Macaca mulatta: one gene and its partners. The protein of the gene in region 3 interacts with the protein of the main gene of each other region in a biochemical or structural test. Links are inferred from orthologs where the notes say so. Each region holds a gene or a part of one and is shown on either strand. Other genes may lie near its edges.

What was found.
Region 1: the proteins of PJA1 (region 3) and NSMCE3 form a complex in vitro, tested with the Homo sapiens proteins (2 studies listed by BioGRID). The link is inferred for Macaca mulatta from reciprocal best matches to the Homo sapiens genes PJA1 and NSMCE3.
Region 2: the proteins of PJA1 (region 3) and MAGED1 form a complex in vitro, tested with the Homo sapiens proteins (2 studies listed by BioGRID, with this or other methods). The link is inferred for Macaca mulatta from reciprocal best matches to the Homo sapiens genes PJA1 and MAGED1.

What each region holds. Positions count from the first base shown.
Region 1 is NC_133412.1:9,160,692-9,165,273, reverse strand, and holds NSMCE3 (non-structural maintenance of chromosomes element 3 homolog), read right to left. Parts: upstream 2,676-4,582; 5' UTR 2,582-2,675; coding exon 1,682-2,581; 3' UTR 1,074-1,681; downstream 1-1,073. UniProt on the Homo sapiens protein: Component of the SMC5-SMC6 complex, a complex involved in repair of DNA double-strand breaks by homologous recombination. The complex may promote sister chromatid homologous recombination by recruiting the SMC1-SMC3 cohesin complex to double-strand breaks.
Region 2 is NC_133426.1:51,752,513-51,757,781, reverse strand, and holds the start of MAGED1 (melanoma-associated antigen D1), read right to left. Parts: upstream 3,374-5,269; 5' UTR 3,363-3,373; coding exon 3,318-3,362; intron 1-3,317. UniProt on the Homo sapiens protein: Involved in the apoptotic response after nerve growth factor (NGF) binding in neuronal cells. Inhibits cell cycle progression, and facilitates NGFR-mediated apoptosis. May act as a regulator of the function of DLX family members.
Region 3 is NC_133426.1:75,668,981-75,674,175, forward strand, and holds the start of PJA1 (E3 ubiquitin-protein ligase Praja-1), read right to left. Parts: upstream 3,143-5,195; 5' UTR 3,020-3,142; intron 792-3,019; exon of another isoform or gene 786-791; 5' UTR 725-785; coding exon 1-724. UniProt on the Homo sapiens protein: Has E2-dependent E3 ubiquitin-protein ligase activity. Ubiquitinates MAGED1 antigen leading to its subsequent degradation by proteasome. May be involved in protein sorting.

The DNA of each region.
Region 1 (4,582 bases), on a different chromosome or scaffold from region 3:
AAACCCAGCAACCTATCACATTCCTCCATACTCACTATAGACTCTTTTAAATGACATTCAGTCCAGTGTTGATGAAGTTCACTTTTTCCCCCCCCGAGTGAAAAATATCTGCCTTATTTCAAGGTTAATTTGCAGCACCTCCCCCTAAAACAATTATACTTATTTACCCACTGAATAAAACGTGTTGAATCTCTGCATTAAAAACAGCATCTGCTACATGTAATGGAGGAATACAATGGGACTATGAACTCTTCTAGTTCATCTAGTCCATAAAACAAACTATTATATAGCTATAATTTTTTTCATTTTACAGGTAAAGAAACTGAGATTCAGACAGCTTAAAACCTACCACCATATCACCATGCTGACAAGTTAGCATGAGCCGTAATTCAAATTCAGTTTGCCAGACAGCCCCAAGACCCACACCTTTTCCCTATACCTAACTCCCTATGAGGTTGATCTTATGTCCTGCTCTCACTGTTCTATGTGGGCTATACTCACCATACACTTTATACTTATTTCCCCATACAATAGAGTCAGACTAGTGGAATATACCTTTTGAACCAGTAATTGCTCTCCTAGGAATCATTTGGAAAACAAGATAAAGAAAAGTTGTATTTAAAAAGTGGCAGCTCCAGACCGAGAATAAAAAATAAAAACATTAAAGAATAACAAGCAAATTCCTCCACATCAGGGACTAAACCCATTTTACAGGTCAAGAAACATCTGCATACAAACTAAGGAACCTACGTAAATTCCTATACTAGTGACGGTGGGGCCAGGATCTGAACCCAGGCAGTCTGATTCCCAAGCAGGCATGGTTAATGGTTACGCTATTGTTTTATAAGCCTTTTTGGTATCCACAGTAGAAATATATTTTACCTCATGATCCTGTACACACACACACAAAAGTAAAACAACTTCTACAAAACAACATTGACCTCAATATGTTGCAAAAACTTTAAGACGCTGATTTCGTCATGAAATTGTCTCATGGCCCACGATTTAAAACACACACAATGCTTCAGTGCTTCAAAAATACAGTATTTATTGTAATAACTAGAGTAGCATGTAAAAAAAACTAAGTGGAACTGCATGTTTAGCAACACAGCTGAGTAATTATGAATATAAACAATTGCTATTTGGAGAAAATACACCACGTTCATTGCTTGGAACCATGAATAATACTTACATATGTAGGAAATATAGAAAAAATAAAATAGGTTAAGGTAATAAGGATATAGGCAATTACGTTTTTATTTTTAATTTTATAAAGACTTTTATTTTTCCTTACAAACTGGGATGCTTAAGAGACCCGATAATAGCTACTTTTTTATTTTCTTGGCACCAAAGCAACTTACTTATGTGTTCCTTCTGGCATATCTGTTTCAGATCATAGTCAAGTTTTCCAATTCGTTTTACTAAGCTAGGAAAATTTTTTATACCAAAAAAAGTAAAATCAAAGCAAAACAAATGCTCTTTTGTTTATAGATGAAAATCTGGAACCAAATAACACAACATTAAAAGAACAAAACTTTGCAAACACATCCTAAAGCTACACACATTGAAACGCTACAGAAATACGCTTCCTGGGTTCGTTCTCCCTTCCCCCGCTCCTCTGCACTGTGCCTTTGGGTCTCAGACCCTTGTCCCGGGGGTCCCTCTGAATCCACCTCAGATTTCAAGAGGATGGGGCTGAGCCACTGGGCTGAGGTCTGGCCCTGTTCTCCTCATCTGCCAACGCCTCACAGTACTGCGCTGGCCAGTCCTTGGGGTCTTGATTATGGACTTTGGCCACAAACTTAAGAACTTTCATCTTGCTGGTTTCCAGGTTGGTTCGCGGGCCCCACTGGAACTCGTAGTCCACGGGGTCGGTGTGGGGTATCCGCCGGTATTCCAGGTAACGTTGTCGCACAAAGTCCTCGGTAATGAGTTTCTTTGGATCTCCGAAAATGAAATGCTTCTTGGTGGGGTAGACCCCTAAGCGCCGCAGAAAGTCCCAGACTTCAGTCTCCTTGACGGTGTTGCCCTTCATAAAGATGAGCCCCAGGACGATCATCAGGAGGCCCGTAGTGGGCGTGCCTTGGTCACCCCTCACCTCGGCATCCTCCTCCACCGGCTCCAGGGTGTTGATGAGGATATAAGTGTTGCTCTTGGGTTCAAGTTCCACCAGCTTATAACCGAAGACGTACTGGAGGCGCTCGGCGGCCCGTTTGAGGAGGTCGGGGAAGATGTCCTTGTAGTCCCCGATGACGTGCTTCAGTATGTCGGCCCGCTTGATCGGAATCTTCTTCTGGTCCTTAATCAGTAAGAACTGCACCAGCTCGGACACTTTCAGCTCCTGCTGCTTCTGGGTCCTGGGGCCCACGGCGGGGGAGGCCTGGGACCGGCGGGCGCCCTGCGACCCCTGCGAGCCGCCCGGCCCCCGGGAAGTGCTCGGGGCCTCCTCTGCGAAGCCGTCTCTGCGGGCCCGGGCGTGTTCGCCCGCCCGCGAGGCCCCGGAGTTTCCGCCACGGCTCCAGTCGCTGTCCCTCTCGGCCTGGCCGCCAGAGCGACCCCGGTTCCTCGGTTTTTGCAACATGTCACCGGCGACGCGTACCGGTGCACACTCCGGCAAGCAAGCAGCCGCGGCTGGGATCGTGGGTCGGCGACCCGCTAAGGCCGCTGCCTGGGCGGGGCCCCAGAAGGGGCGCGCAGTGTCGGCTGAGACTGCGTGCCGCGTCATGAAGCCTGCGCCTTGCGTCACGGCGGCTGGGCGGTGCGCCTGCGCGGCTGCGGGGCTGGGGGTACCAAAAGCATCAGATATTTCTGTGCAGCCCTGCAGGTCTGGTCGGTGAATTTCAGTATATCGAAGTGTTGTTCTTACTAAACCATGCAAGCAGAGAACGAGAACCGAAACTCCTAAACAAGTGTGTCGCTAAATTCAGGACCAGACAGGCTCAGGCAAGTTTTACAGACGGTATTATGAGTTTCTAATTCTAAATCGGGAGCATTTGTAAATGAAAAGATCTCACAGGATGAATGTGTGAGAAAGAAAAAAAAAAGGTGAAGAGGAAGGTACGACCGTGGAAGTAAAAGCATTTATTTCTACACAACATGTAGAAGGATATAAAAAACCCAGAGGGCTCTTAGTTTTCGTCCCTCCGCTCAATTTTATACCCTCCAACCCACTGCCCCCAGTTACTTTCTCTAATGCCCCGTGGAGTTTGTTAAAAACAAAAGTCTGCTGCAGGCTTTCCGCGCAAGCAGGACTTCGGTTTCACTATTTCCGTATGTGTATTCTCTGCATTAAACTCCTTTAGCTAGACAACTATGAGAAAACCCCACAAAACTTGTCAATATTAAGTAAATGTTTTAGCTTGGTCAAATGAGTTTATCCTTTGGAAAACAACTGTCTTCGGCTCACAGCCACAATTTTAGCAGAAATGCGTAAGAGGAATGCTGCAAACGTGCACTCTCAAGAGATTACCACTTAATTTTGGGCATCACTGATCAAGAATTGCAATAATGTGGATCTCTTAAATTTCTTAATTCATAATATATTAGCTTTGAGAAAGAAAAGAGAACACAAGGGTATTTATCCCTCATCTATGATGTGTGCAGTCTATGTATATTTTAATTGTGCAACTCAAGTAGCCAAAATGAGTCATTTCATTAACTCAAACCATCAGCAATCTGCTGCCATTACTTCTATAGATCTTAGCAAATTTGTTTCTTCTCTATTTATTGACTTGCAAAGAAGAAACTGAATTTCCCTGTGTCTTTTTAAAGCTACCCAGAAAGTGGATAAACTCTTCAAAGAACCAAATCGAGTTCCTCTTTAATGCAAATATATTCAAAGGAAAGCAATTTAGAACACATTATCTGAATAATAGCATCAAACACAACCTTATTAAAATTTTGTTAAATGTTAGTAGCATAACACATTTGTTTGTAATTCAGTAGGAAAATGCAATCTGATAATGGCACTGGAACTGCTATAGTAAATGTAAAATCATATTCCATGAACTAATGCAAGTATGCTAAAATCTGATACGCAGTGAGTAATAACTTACTGTTCCACACAAGATACAACTATATCCTCAGGCATCAAGCTTAATGACAAAGGCCTACTACGAAAAACAAATATATTATCAAGGTATTCATTTTTTTACAATGAGAAAATTCATCTGCTTCAGTTTCCTTGCAAATTAAAATTTGGACTTAGGTTCATAAAAGCTTCCTGCCATCTAGAATTCTGCAAAAGGTCCCTACCACAGGATGCGGATGGTCTACCTTGAGTCAAAAAAGTTCGGTGACCAAGATATAAGGGGAAAGTGGAAAATTAAATAAAAGCTATTGTCAACAATTGGGCTGGTTTTTCAATGCTGTTTCTTGCTAAGGTATTCACTTACGTCACCAAGCAGTCCACCAATCAGGCTACCCCCATGACTGTGAAAATCAGCAGTGTCCTCTAGCAGCACTCTTACCTAGACAGCAGACTGTCATTACTCAAAATAGAGGAGAAGAGATGCCAGTTTGTAAGTCTGAAAACATCTGTCTACGCCATGTCCAGAGGAATGCAGGTGAGAAAATGCACACA
Region 2 (5,269 bases), about 24 Mb from region 3:
AAATTCCTCAAAACCAACCTGCTAAGAGGGCTACAATTTTAATCCCATCTTTTCCTATAGTGAAATATCTACTGTTTGTAACTTTTGTTGATAATGGTTACTTAGCTAGCATAAATAATTGAAATGTGAACACTAAGTGCTAGAAATGTCTTTGTGGTCATTTAAATGAACCGACTGACAATTGCATTTAATACTCTCATATTAGTTACGAGCAGAGAAGTACAGTGCAGAAGAAGCCTGGGCTCTAAGTGCCAGGTTTCTTAGACTCGAATCTCAGCCTCACCATATATTATGTGCAACCTTAGGAAATGTATTTAACCTCATTGTCTCTCATATGTAAAGTGGGGATAATAACAGTACCTACCTCTTATGTTTGTTTTGGGCCTCTCATGCATTAATACAGGTAAGTACTTTGAAAGATGGCATACGATAAATGTTGCTTGACAGTTTTTAAGCACTAAACTGTTACTCAATATCTTAAGGGCTTACAGGAAATTCTTGTCAAACAGCACTTGTAAACTGATGTGAAAGAAGAGCACAAAGTCTTCATTGTAAAAAACAAATAATGACATTAGAAATGTGTTCCCCCTTTAATAATGGGAGTCAGGAATCACTGCTATCATCCCTTTCATTCATTATACTGAAGACCCTATCCAGAGGTGCGGGAGGAAGTAGGAGGAAGGAGGAAAAGGAGAAGGCAGAAGAGAGTAAGGATTAGAAATGAATAAAGGAAACTATTAATATTTAGAGTTGATAAGATTCCCTACATAAAAAACTTATGAGAATCTTAACCCTTTCTAAACTCTCAGCTGAACTTGTACTTCTGGGCAAGATGGAATGACAGAGACCATTTACCCAACTAGTTGAAAAATTAAAAAGTAAATTGTTTTCAGAACAATAGATATCAGGTAGTGAGGGCCAATAATCCTTGAGAAATGGTAAAGAAACAAGGTGACCCTATAAATGCCCCAGCATACTTCCCTGAGAGAATTTTCAGATTATGCCACAGGCAAGGGTAATAACTGAGACAGAACCTGGCAGATCCCCTGAGGTAAGAAGACAACACTCAGAGTCCAGTGAGAAGGCAGCTAAAATCTGCAGGTAATAGTTAGCAGAATGGGGAAACAGTGCAGAAAAAGAACTCCTGAGATTTGTAAAGGGTCCATTGAGTATTCAACAGAGTATACATTAGTGTATATAGAGGAAACTACCCAAGGCAGGGGAGAGAACCATTTGAAATCACTAGAAAGAACACTTTTCATCACTTACACTGGGACAGGAACAGCACCTGTTACCAACAGCCAGCAAGGAATAATTTTCCATAGACTGAGCACCACCCTGGTTCCACCTAATCAATCTTAAAAGCAAGACATAAAAGGATCAAACTGTTTCCATGTAGTTTCATCATATTCCAGAATAAAGCTCAAGAAATTTTTAGTTATATAAAAATATCTAGCATCCAACAAGGTAAAATCCACAAGGCTTGAATGTAAACAAACATCACCAGCAATGCAAAGAAGCTTGAAATTATTTTTTTAAAAAAATCAATAAATTGAAACCAACCAACAATTGATGCAGATGTTAGAGTTACCAGACACGGACATTTAAAAAGTTATGACATAATCTATTCATTTACAAAGTTAAGTAGAGGCATGGAAAACTATAACAAAGACGCCCAAATTAAAATTTTAGAGATGTAAATAATAATATCTGAGCTTAAAAATACGCCAAATTGGATAAATGACATATTAAACTATGGAAAAGGAAAGATTAAAGAATTTGAAAACAATGGAAATAAGAATCATCCAAAATGAAACCGACAGAAAAGAATTTTTTTGAAGTATGAAGAATATCAGTGGACTGTTGAACAATGGCAAGCAACTTAATACACAGGTAATTAAAGTCCCCAAAGAAGATGAGAGGAGTATTAATACTTTTCACCCGGCAGATCCCCTGAGGTAAGGAGATGATTCTCGGGAGAGGAAGGCAGCTAAAATTCTTAGCCACTGTTTCTTCATATGTTACTATTAATTGTGGGTTTTGCCATTATTTTAGTGATAATTTTAACCCCCAAATCAAAAAATATCAACATATTTGGTGCAAAAGAAACATGAAGGAAACTACAAGGCTCATCACAATCAATCTGATTAAGAGATTTTTTTAAAAACTCTGGAAACAATGCAGGAAAAACAAAAAGACACATTAATAACAAAGAAACAAATAAACTAAATTAGTACAATCCCCAACTTATGATGGTTCAACTTATGCTCTTTCAACTTTACAATGGCGCAAAAGCGATATACATTCCATAAAAAATAAACTTTGAGCACCAATACAGCCATTCTGCTTTTCACTTTCAGCACAGTATTCAATAAGTTATATGAGCTATTCAACATTTTATTATAAAAGAAGCTCCGTGTTAGATGATTTTGCCCAACTGTAGGCTGATATTAAGTGTTCTGAGCATGTTTAAGGTAGGCTAAGCTAAGCTACAATGTTTGCTAGGATAAGTGTATTAAATGCATTTTCAACTTACAGTATTTTCAACTTAAACAGGTTTATCGGGATTTAATCCCATTGTAAATCAAGGAGCATCTGTATAACCTTCCCACAAGGAAATTTTAAAGAGTCAGATGACTTCGCTAGCAAATTCTACCAACATTTTAAAAAGAAATAATACCAGTACTACACAAACTTTTCCAGAAAATTAAAGAATAGCAAATACTTCCTAACTCATTCTATGAGGCCAGTATGGTCCTGATACAAAAACCAGACAAAGACATTACAAGAAAAGAAGTAACTTATACAACAAAAAATAAATAGATCAAAGTCCTAAATGGGAAAAATCAACTTTAAAGGTTTTAGAACATTTAGAAGAGCATTTTTATAACCTCCAAATCAGAGAAATATTTCTTAAAGATACAAAGATCAATCATAAATAAAAAGACTGGTAGATTTGATCAAAATTTATATCAAAATTCATCACCTCTGTACTACAAAAGAAACCGTTAAGGTAAAAAGACTAACTACGGACTGAGAGCAGATATTTGCAACACTAACAAGGAATCCATATCCAGAATATAAATGTAACTTCTACAAATCAATAAGAAAAAACAAAAAGTATCCATAGAACCATTGTTTTCAACTATAAAAAAAAAGGAAACAACCTAATATCCATTAACAAAAGAACACTGAAATAATTTTTTGAATACTCCACAAAGACGGGATGGACACCAGTTCAAAATTTGGTTTGAATGTCAACACCAATGATACCAAACAAACACACACCAACATTCATAAAAAAGCTGATTACTCACATAATGAGGTTTTCTGCAGAGAGCAGGGGTGGCTCTCAGACACATCCAAACATGGCTTTATAAAGCAAGGAGAGAACACTGGCTTGGGTTTTTATGGTGGTTGGGGGTGGGGCTGGGGTGAGGATTCTCACCTGTGGTTTGAACTTTACACTGGTGGTAAAGAACACTGCATCATGGCTTTCTTATCTTGCTCAGATGTGGGACAGAGGGAGAACAGGGAGAGATAAGACTTCAAAGCTGTCAGCAGTCAAACATTAAAAATGGAGTGAGACTTTTAATTATGATTTTATACGAGATTATAAATAGATGCATGAGTTTTATATTCATTAATGAGCCTGACAAATACCATGATGAACAATAAAAAAGCAGGTTTGTAGAAGAATGCATACATTTCTGCCATATAAATAATGTTCAAAAAAGCAAAATAATTTCATATATTTCAAGTGATATTTATATAAGTAGGAAAATCAAAAGAAATGCAAAGGAATGATAAATACTGAATTGAAGATAATGGCAACATGTAGAGAAAAAGGAGTAGGATGTGATTGGGGGTTCATAGAGGGGACTTCAATTGCATTGCGATTTTCTAAATGTATTGAGTTAGGCAATAAATGCAAAAGTGTTCATTGTTTTATTATTATTTACACTTTTCTGCATGTTTTAATATTTTGTAATTTTATAAAGTGGAAGTCAGCTTTTAATACATATAGTGCCCCTAGTTAAATATCTTTAAATATCCTGACTATGGTAAAGTCTCAAATCAAATAAATCTTAAATTACTTGGTGTTCTCCAGCTTCTGACAACCACAGAGAAAAAGTAGACACTTTACTAATATGAATAACACTAATAAATGAAATTTAATAAAACAAGTTTTCTCCTATATAGATTAAGAATCTTCAAACATAATTTAGTTACAAGTATTTAATTATTCAGATAAAAGTTACAAAATGGTTAGCATAAAAAGTAATGACAGATGAAACCCTGTAGTACTTAATGTAAAAAAACTGATTCAGCAACAGCACACTTACTGAGATTTTTTAAGAAATTAAAGGTACCTCACATTCGAGGAATATAGAAAAAAATTAAATGTATGTGTGTGGGGTGGGAGAGATTGGTTGACTGACTTATGGTATCAGAGAACAATTCCACTATTTTATTCCTGTAGAAAAAAAAAAAAAAAAAAACGACAAAAAACTAGCCGGGCGATGCGGCGGGCGCCTGTAGTCCCAGCTACTCGGGAGGCTGAGGCAGGAGAATGGTGTGAACCCGGGAGGCGGAGCTTGCAGTGAGCTGAGATCCGGCCACTGCACTCCAGCCTGGGCGACAGAGTGAGACTCCGTTTCAAAAAGAAAAAAAGAAAAAAAGAAAAACGAAATAAAGTAATTTCTACCACTTTTTACCTCCTGAAATCTAACCACAATATAACACCTTAGTTTAATAAACATCTCAAAGGATTCACATATGGGATTTGTCAACTCAAACTTTTATTCTTCTTCTACTTTCTTACTAACTTTCACGAATTAAATGTAGCCCCAAACTACCATTTATAAGAAAATTACATTCCAAAACAGTTTTCCATTTAAAAAAAGAAAATGTCGTAAATGGTAATTAGGTACTTACGTTGGACTACATAAGATTGTTTGACCTATGTTGGTGCTGAAATTTTCCAATACTGTTATAAAGACCACTAATAAAACAATGTGCTTTTATGAGAAATTAACAAAAGAGGGCTAACACTGAGACGCTAAGAACCTATCTTCCAGTGCTATATCCCTAGTAGTACTGCTGATTCTCCTACCCATCTCCCTGATATCCCATTTGGCTCCCAGTATGAGTAGAACTTCCTAGTAATTCCTGAAGAGTGAAGGCTTGCAGAAGTAGGGCTGCAGAGGTTTTAGCAGGTGAGGAAAAGAAAAGATAAGAAGACACGTTAAGGCTCGTGAGTAGCAGG
Region 3 (5,195 bases):
CATTGGCAGTATCCCTCCACCTGGAAGTACTGTGTGGCATATCATCATCATCATCAGTATCAAAAAAAATTTTGGGTTTCACGCAGTTTGGACTTGCCAGGTTTCTGATTTTGGGCCTGACCACAGGTTCCTCTGCACTCTTTGAGGTGTTTTCCCCACCACCACAAATACTCACAGGAGCCCTGCTGGGACATGCAGGTAAATTTTGCTCCCTTTTCTCCCTCTCCAAGCTGTCACCTTTTGTAGCCACCTTGCCTTCAGCAGAAGACGACTGTGAGGCCACACTACTTTGTGGCAGGAAGTCAGCTCTGCTAGCTGAGCATCTTGCTGCAGGGACTGGGTCTAACTTGTCTCGCTCCTCTCTCACATCACGGCTAAAACTAGAGAACTGTGGAGGTGGCCCAGCCAAAGACCTTGCCCCTTTCTCTGGGTCATACAGCTTATCATCTTTAAACTTGCCAGTTTTTCCTCTCGCTGGCGGTCGCTCAACAGGCCCAGCCCCCTCCTCCTCACTATCATCTGCCCCATAAGAGTCAATATGTCCATAGGTCATTCCTCTTCTGCTACCCGAAGCTCTGTACTCTCTTGGCGGATACCTGGAATAGTCCTCATTATCAATATTTAGGTTGGTTCCCGAACTCTCGCTGTCGTCCCAACTACGACGAGTAGTGGAAAATGGCGATCGGCTCCTCTTGGTGGTTTGACTGGAGGCTGATCTGTGCATTGGGACTTTGGAGTTCGTCTTTCTCTGGCTGGCAATCCTTTCCCGCTGGCTCGTGGGTGGCCTGAAACTGACATAAGCATGCCTTCTTCCATACCTCCTACCTGTATTGGACTGATACCCTCCTGTTGGATTGGGCCATACAGGCTTGCTAGATTCCTGACCCATCACTCTGACTTAGGAGGGTTTTCAATACAGCTGGGGCTGGGGCAGGAAGATTCCTGCTCCCTGCACACGTTTTTCAGATGGGAAAGTAAAATCAGTTTAGAATAAAGGAGCAGGGAGATTTATTTTCACTTCAGCAGGCAGGTAACTGAAAGAATAAGGGGCCTTTAAATTTAGTTTCACTTTCTTCTAAGGCCTGGAGTAGCATTCCAGTGACAGGTGTAGACCTGGAACACATTTTTTAATGTTGGCAAAATGATTACAAGACTGGGTTTGCAGGAAAGCCAGACTTAGGGGAGAATCTGATGGAAGATGGGGGGTGACCGGACACTTGGAAGGTGGGTGAAGTACTGTAGAATTGTGCCAATGTGGGGAAAGGAAAGACTGCTGTAGTTTTCTTTTTATGGGGTGCCTGCCTTTTTCTGAGTGCTGCAAAATACAGGAGAAATGCAAATTGGAATAGAGTGGAAAATACAGATCGCTGTGTGCGCACAAGTGCCTATGTGTCTATCAAGAGGAGAGGGACAGGTGGAAGGGGACCAGCAATCCTGCAACAGAGGGATGTTTATGTTTGTAGGGGGAAAGGGTATGAGTGTTAGAATGATTCTGGATGTGGGTATGAGAATGACAGGCATGGGTGGGGTGGCTTTGGAGGAGAGGGGTGTGTGTATGTATGAGGAAAGGGAAGGTGTTTATGTGTGTCGCTGTATGTGTGGCAGCTGAAACTACAGAAGGATGCCCATGTTTATGTGTATGTCACAGGCAGGGGAGTGTATGGTTGGCAATGGAGAGGAGTGTCTGAGAGTTTGTGTGTGCGTATGTTAGTCAAAATGGGAGGCAACAATGGAGAAATGTCAGTGTGAGCAAATGCAGCAGGCACAAACGGAAGCGGGGGTCGGGAGTGGCGCAGCACTGGAGACGGATGCGCTTGAGGTGGATGGAACAGAGGCCGGCAATCAAAGAACGATGCCTGCCTGTGTGGATATGGCAAGCAGGGAAGCAGGTGGTGTCCCCATAGAAGGATTTATGTGAGTGTGTGTGTGCACCTCAGGGACCAGCGAAAGAGCTGTGTCTGACACACGTGGCAGATCAATAGAGGAGAGCATTTGAGGAGGGGGTATGAATGAGCACATGTGGCTGTATATGCATGTCACTGGCCAGCAATAGAAGGATGTCCTTATGTGTGTATATGACAGGAAGGAAGAAGGAGAGCAGCCTGAGGGGGTGTGTGAATAGGCATGTGTTCGCGAGAGCACGCAGAGGCCGAACAGGGAGGGGGCCGGTGCTAGAGGTGTGTATGTGGTAGGCGGATAGAGGAGGGGGAAGGCATGGGAGGGTGTGAGGGTGTGAGGGTGTGTGGAGGGTGTGTGAGAGGGTGTGTGCTGCGTGTGCCTGCGCATGCGCGGGAGAGAAGACGCACTGGAACCTTGAGGATGGAGGGGCAAGGAGGGGGCTGCAATGGAAAGCTTCTCTGCGGGGGCGCGTGCTCGCGAGACACGGAGGGGTGTGGGGTAGGGGGTACGCAATGTCATAATAAGAGGTGGGAAAAGGCCATCAGCTCAAACGGGAGACCCAAACCGATGTAGCAGGGAAGAGGCAAAATGAAAGAAAAGGGCGTGCGTGGGTCTAGTTTTCCCTGAGAATAATTATTTTTTCCTCCTTACAATTTTTTCCCTGGGAACAGTATTTTTACCTAAAAATCTTAACCATTTACCATTTGGCAAAACAACAGCAAAATATGGGAAGAAAGGCCACGGAGTGCTCCGCAAAGGGGCCGAGGAGGGAAGAAGGAAGGAGAGGGGAGGAGAGGCAGGGAGAAGTGGGAGAGGGCCGCGACCACCACTACCCTCCCAATAGCGATGAAAGCCACTCGAGTGGGGACCGCGCCACACGAAAGGGGTTCCCGGCAGCGGAGGATGCGGCCCCAGAACAGGCCGATGTAGAACATGGGCCTCACTCTGCAGTCAGGTCCCGCGTCCGCCCCACCCCTTCCCGAGGGGCGAACCTGAAAAGCAGTTCCCAGGAACCCCGCAAAATCCTCGTCCCCGTGCCCGGCCACTCGCACTGCGCCCGACCACTCGCGCCACCGCCAGCGCCCGGATGAATCGAGGAAACAATCAGCCTTTCACTCACCAAGTCCAGAAAGCCACACGCTTTTCAGAGAAGCAGAGCTCTCGGACCTCCGACCGCCACGACCGCCAGAGCCGCTGCTCCCGGTCTCGAGCTCCTCCCCCGCCAGACAGCAGCGGGGCGGGTGGCGACTGCGGCGGCGGAAGTGATTGTGAAGTCAGCTGGAGCCCGCCCCCTTGATGTGGCGGGGGCGGCAGCTGCTCTCCACAAATCAGGGTGGGCCCGAAAGCATTATTTCATCTTAAATGATGAAATCGTCAAGGATACAGCAAAGGACAGCGAAAAATGTCACGAACACCCAGCTTTAACTAATGTTAAATATTTAGCTATATTCCCTTCTGTGTTTTTTTTTTAATAAAATAAAATCTGCAAATTCTTTCTGATTAAGTCCAATGTGAGAGTAATTACGTTACTACATCACATCCTATGTTACGTGTTATGGTTGTACCGAAAGTATTAAACCTGTGAAACTATATTTAGGGTTGCAGTAAGCTTAAATTTTTTTAACCTTATTGTTAAAGCAAACTGAAGCTGTTTAGTGTTGAATTTGTTGCTGCTAATCACAAAACCAAGCTTCTCTATTCAAGAGATCATAAGACACAACACAGGTTCATATTCTGGTATTGCATTGCAGTTAAAACATATTACAGTTATGCCTTTTGGATTTATACCATTTTACTGAATTCTGAAGTCTTTAAATTGCGCTTTATAATGGAACTCTAATATTTACAGCCAATGTAAACATTTCCTATGTTCACAACAGTAGCAAAGTTTTGTTCTTACTGGAAACAAAATGCACAAGAGAACAAAAATCTTAGGGGTAGCAACATAATAGAAATAGAATGTATAACTTTCAAACCATTAAAGTAATAATATGTGGAACAAAGAGAAAAACTCATTCTGAACAAAGGTCAAGAAATGTTGCTGGGGGTGTGCAAAAAAAAGGATGCAAAAAGTAAACAAAAACGCAGGAATCTAAATATATCAGCATGCATTATGGGTTAACATCTCCTAATAAAAACCAAACTCTTATTTTGAGGATTTTGTTTTTAAAAGTCAAGTTATATACTATTTCTGTGAGTTTCACCTAAAGCAGAAATAGAAAAAATATATATATGACAGTAAAATACTAGCAGAAAAAAAGGAAGGGAGGGAGGGAATGAGGGAAAGAAAGAAGCAAAAAAAAAAAAAAAAAGAAAGAAAGAAAAGGAAGGAGGAAAGAAACTCGTAACAACATCAATATCCTAAACATCGAGAACTCAGAGTAAAAAGCACTAAAGAGAACAAAACAGGTTGTTTTATTCACTCAGAAAGATACGACAAGCTGATGGTGTGTGCCTGTAGTCCCAACTACTTAGGAGGCTGAGGCAGGAGGATTGTGTGAGCCCAGGAGGTTGAGACTGAAGTGAGTGGAGATCACGCCACTGCACTCCAGCCTGGACAACCAAGCAAGATGCTGTCTCAAAATAATGATGATAATAATAATGATAATAATAATTGAACTTCATTGGCGAGAAATCTGAAGCTATCAATTTTTTAAATGGAGATACATTTTCTTTCTTTTTTTTTTTTTGAGATACATTTTCATCTAGCAATTCTACTTCTAGTCAACTTCTCTGTTGTGTGTTCTATTGAGACACACAAGTGGAGACAGATATGTGAATAGGAGTGTAGCAAGATAATGCAAACCACTTTAATTCTCCTCAACAAATAAATTGCTTAAATTTACTTAAACATGTTGCTTGGTGGCTCATGTACAGACATGGTGGCTGACACCTGTAATCACAGCACTTTGGGAGACCAAGGCAGGAGGATTGCTTGAGCCCAGGAGTTTCAGACCAGCCTGGACAATATGGTGAAACCCCATCTCTGCAAAAAAATGTAAAAATTTCCTTGGCACAATGGCACATGCTTATAGTCCCAGCCACTTGGGAGGCTGAGGTGGGAGAATCACTTGAGCCCAGGAGGTTGAGGCTGCAGTGAGCTAAGATTGCGCCACTGCAATCCAGCCTAGAAAATAGACTCAGACCCCGTCTCAAAAAAAAAAGAAAGAAAGAAAGAAAGAAAGAAAGAAAGAAAGAAAGAAAGAAAGAGAAAAAGAAGAAGAAAGGAAATAAGGCAAGTATATACATACTGATCTAATATAAATATATTAAGTGAAAAAAGCATGTTGCAGAAC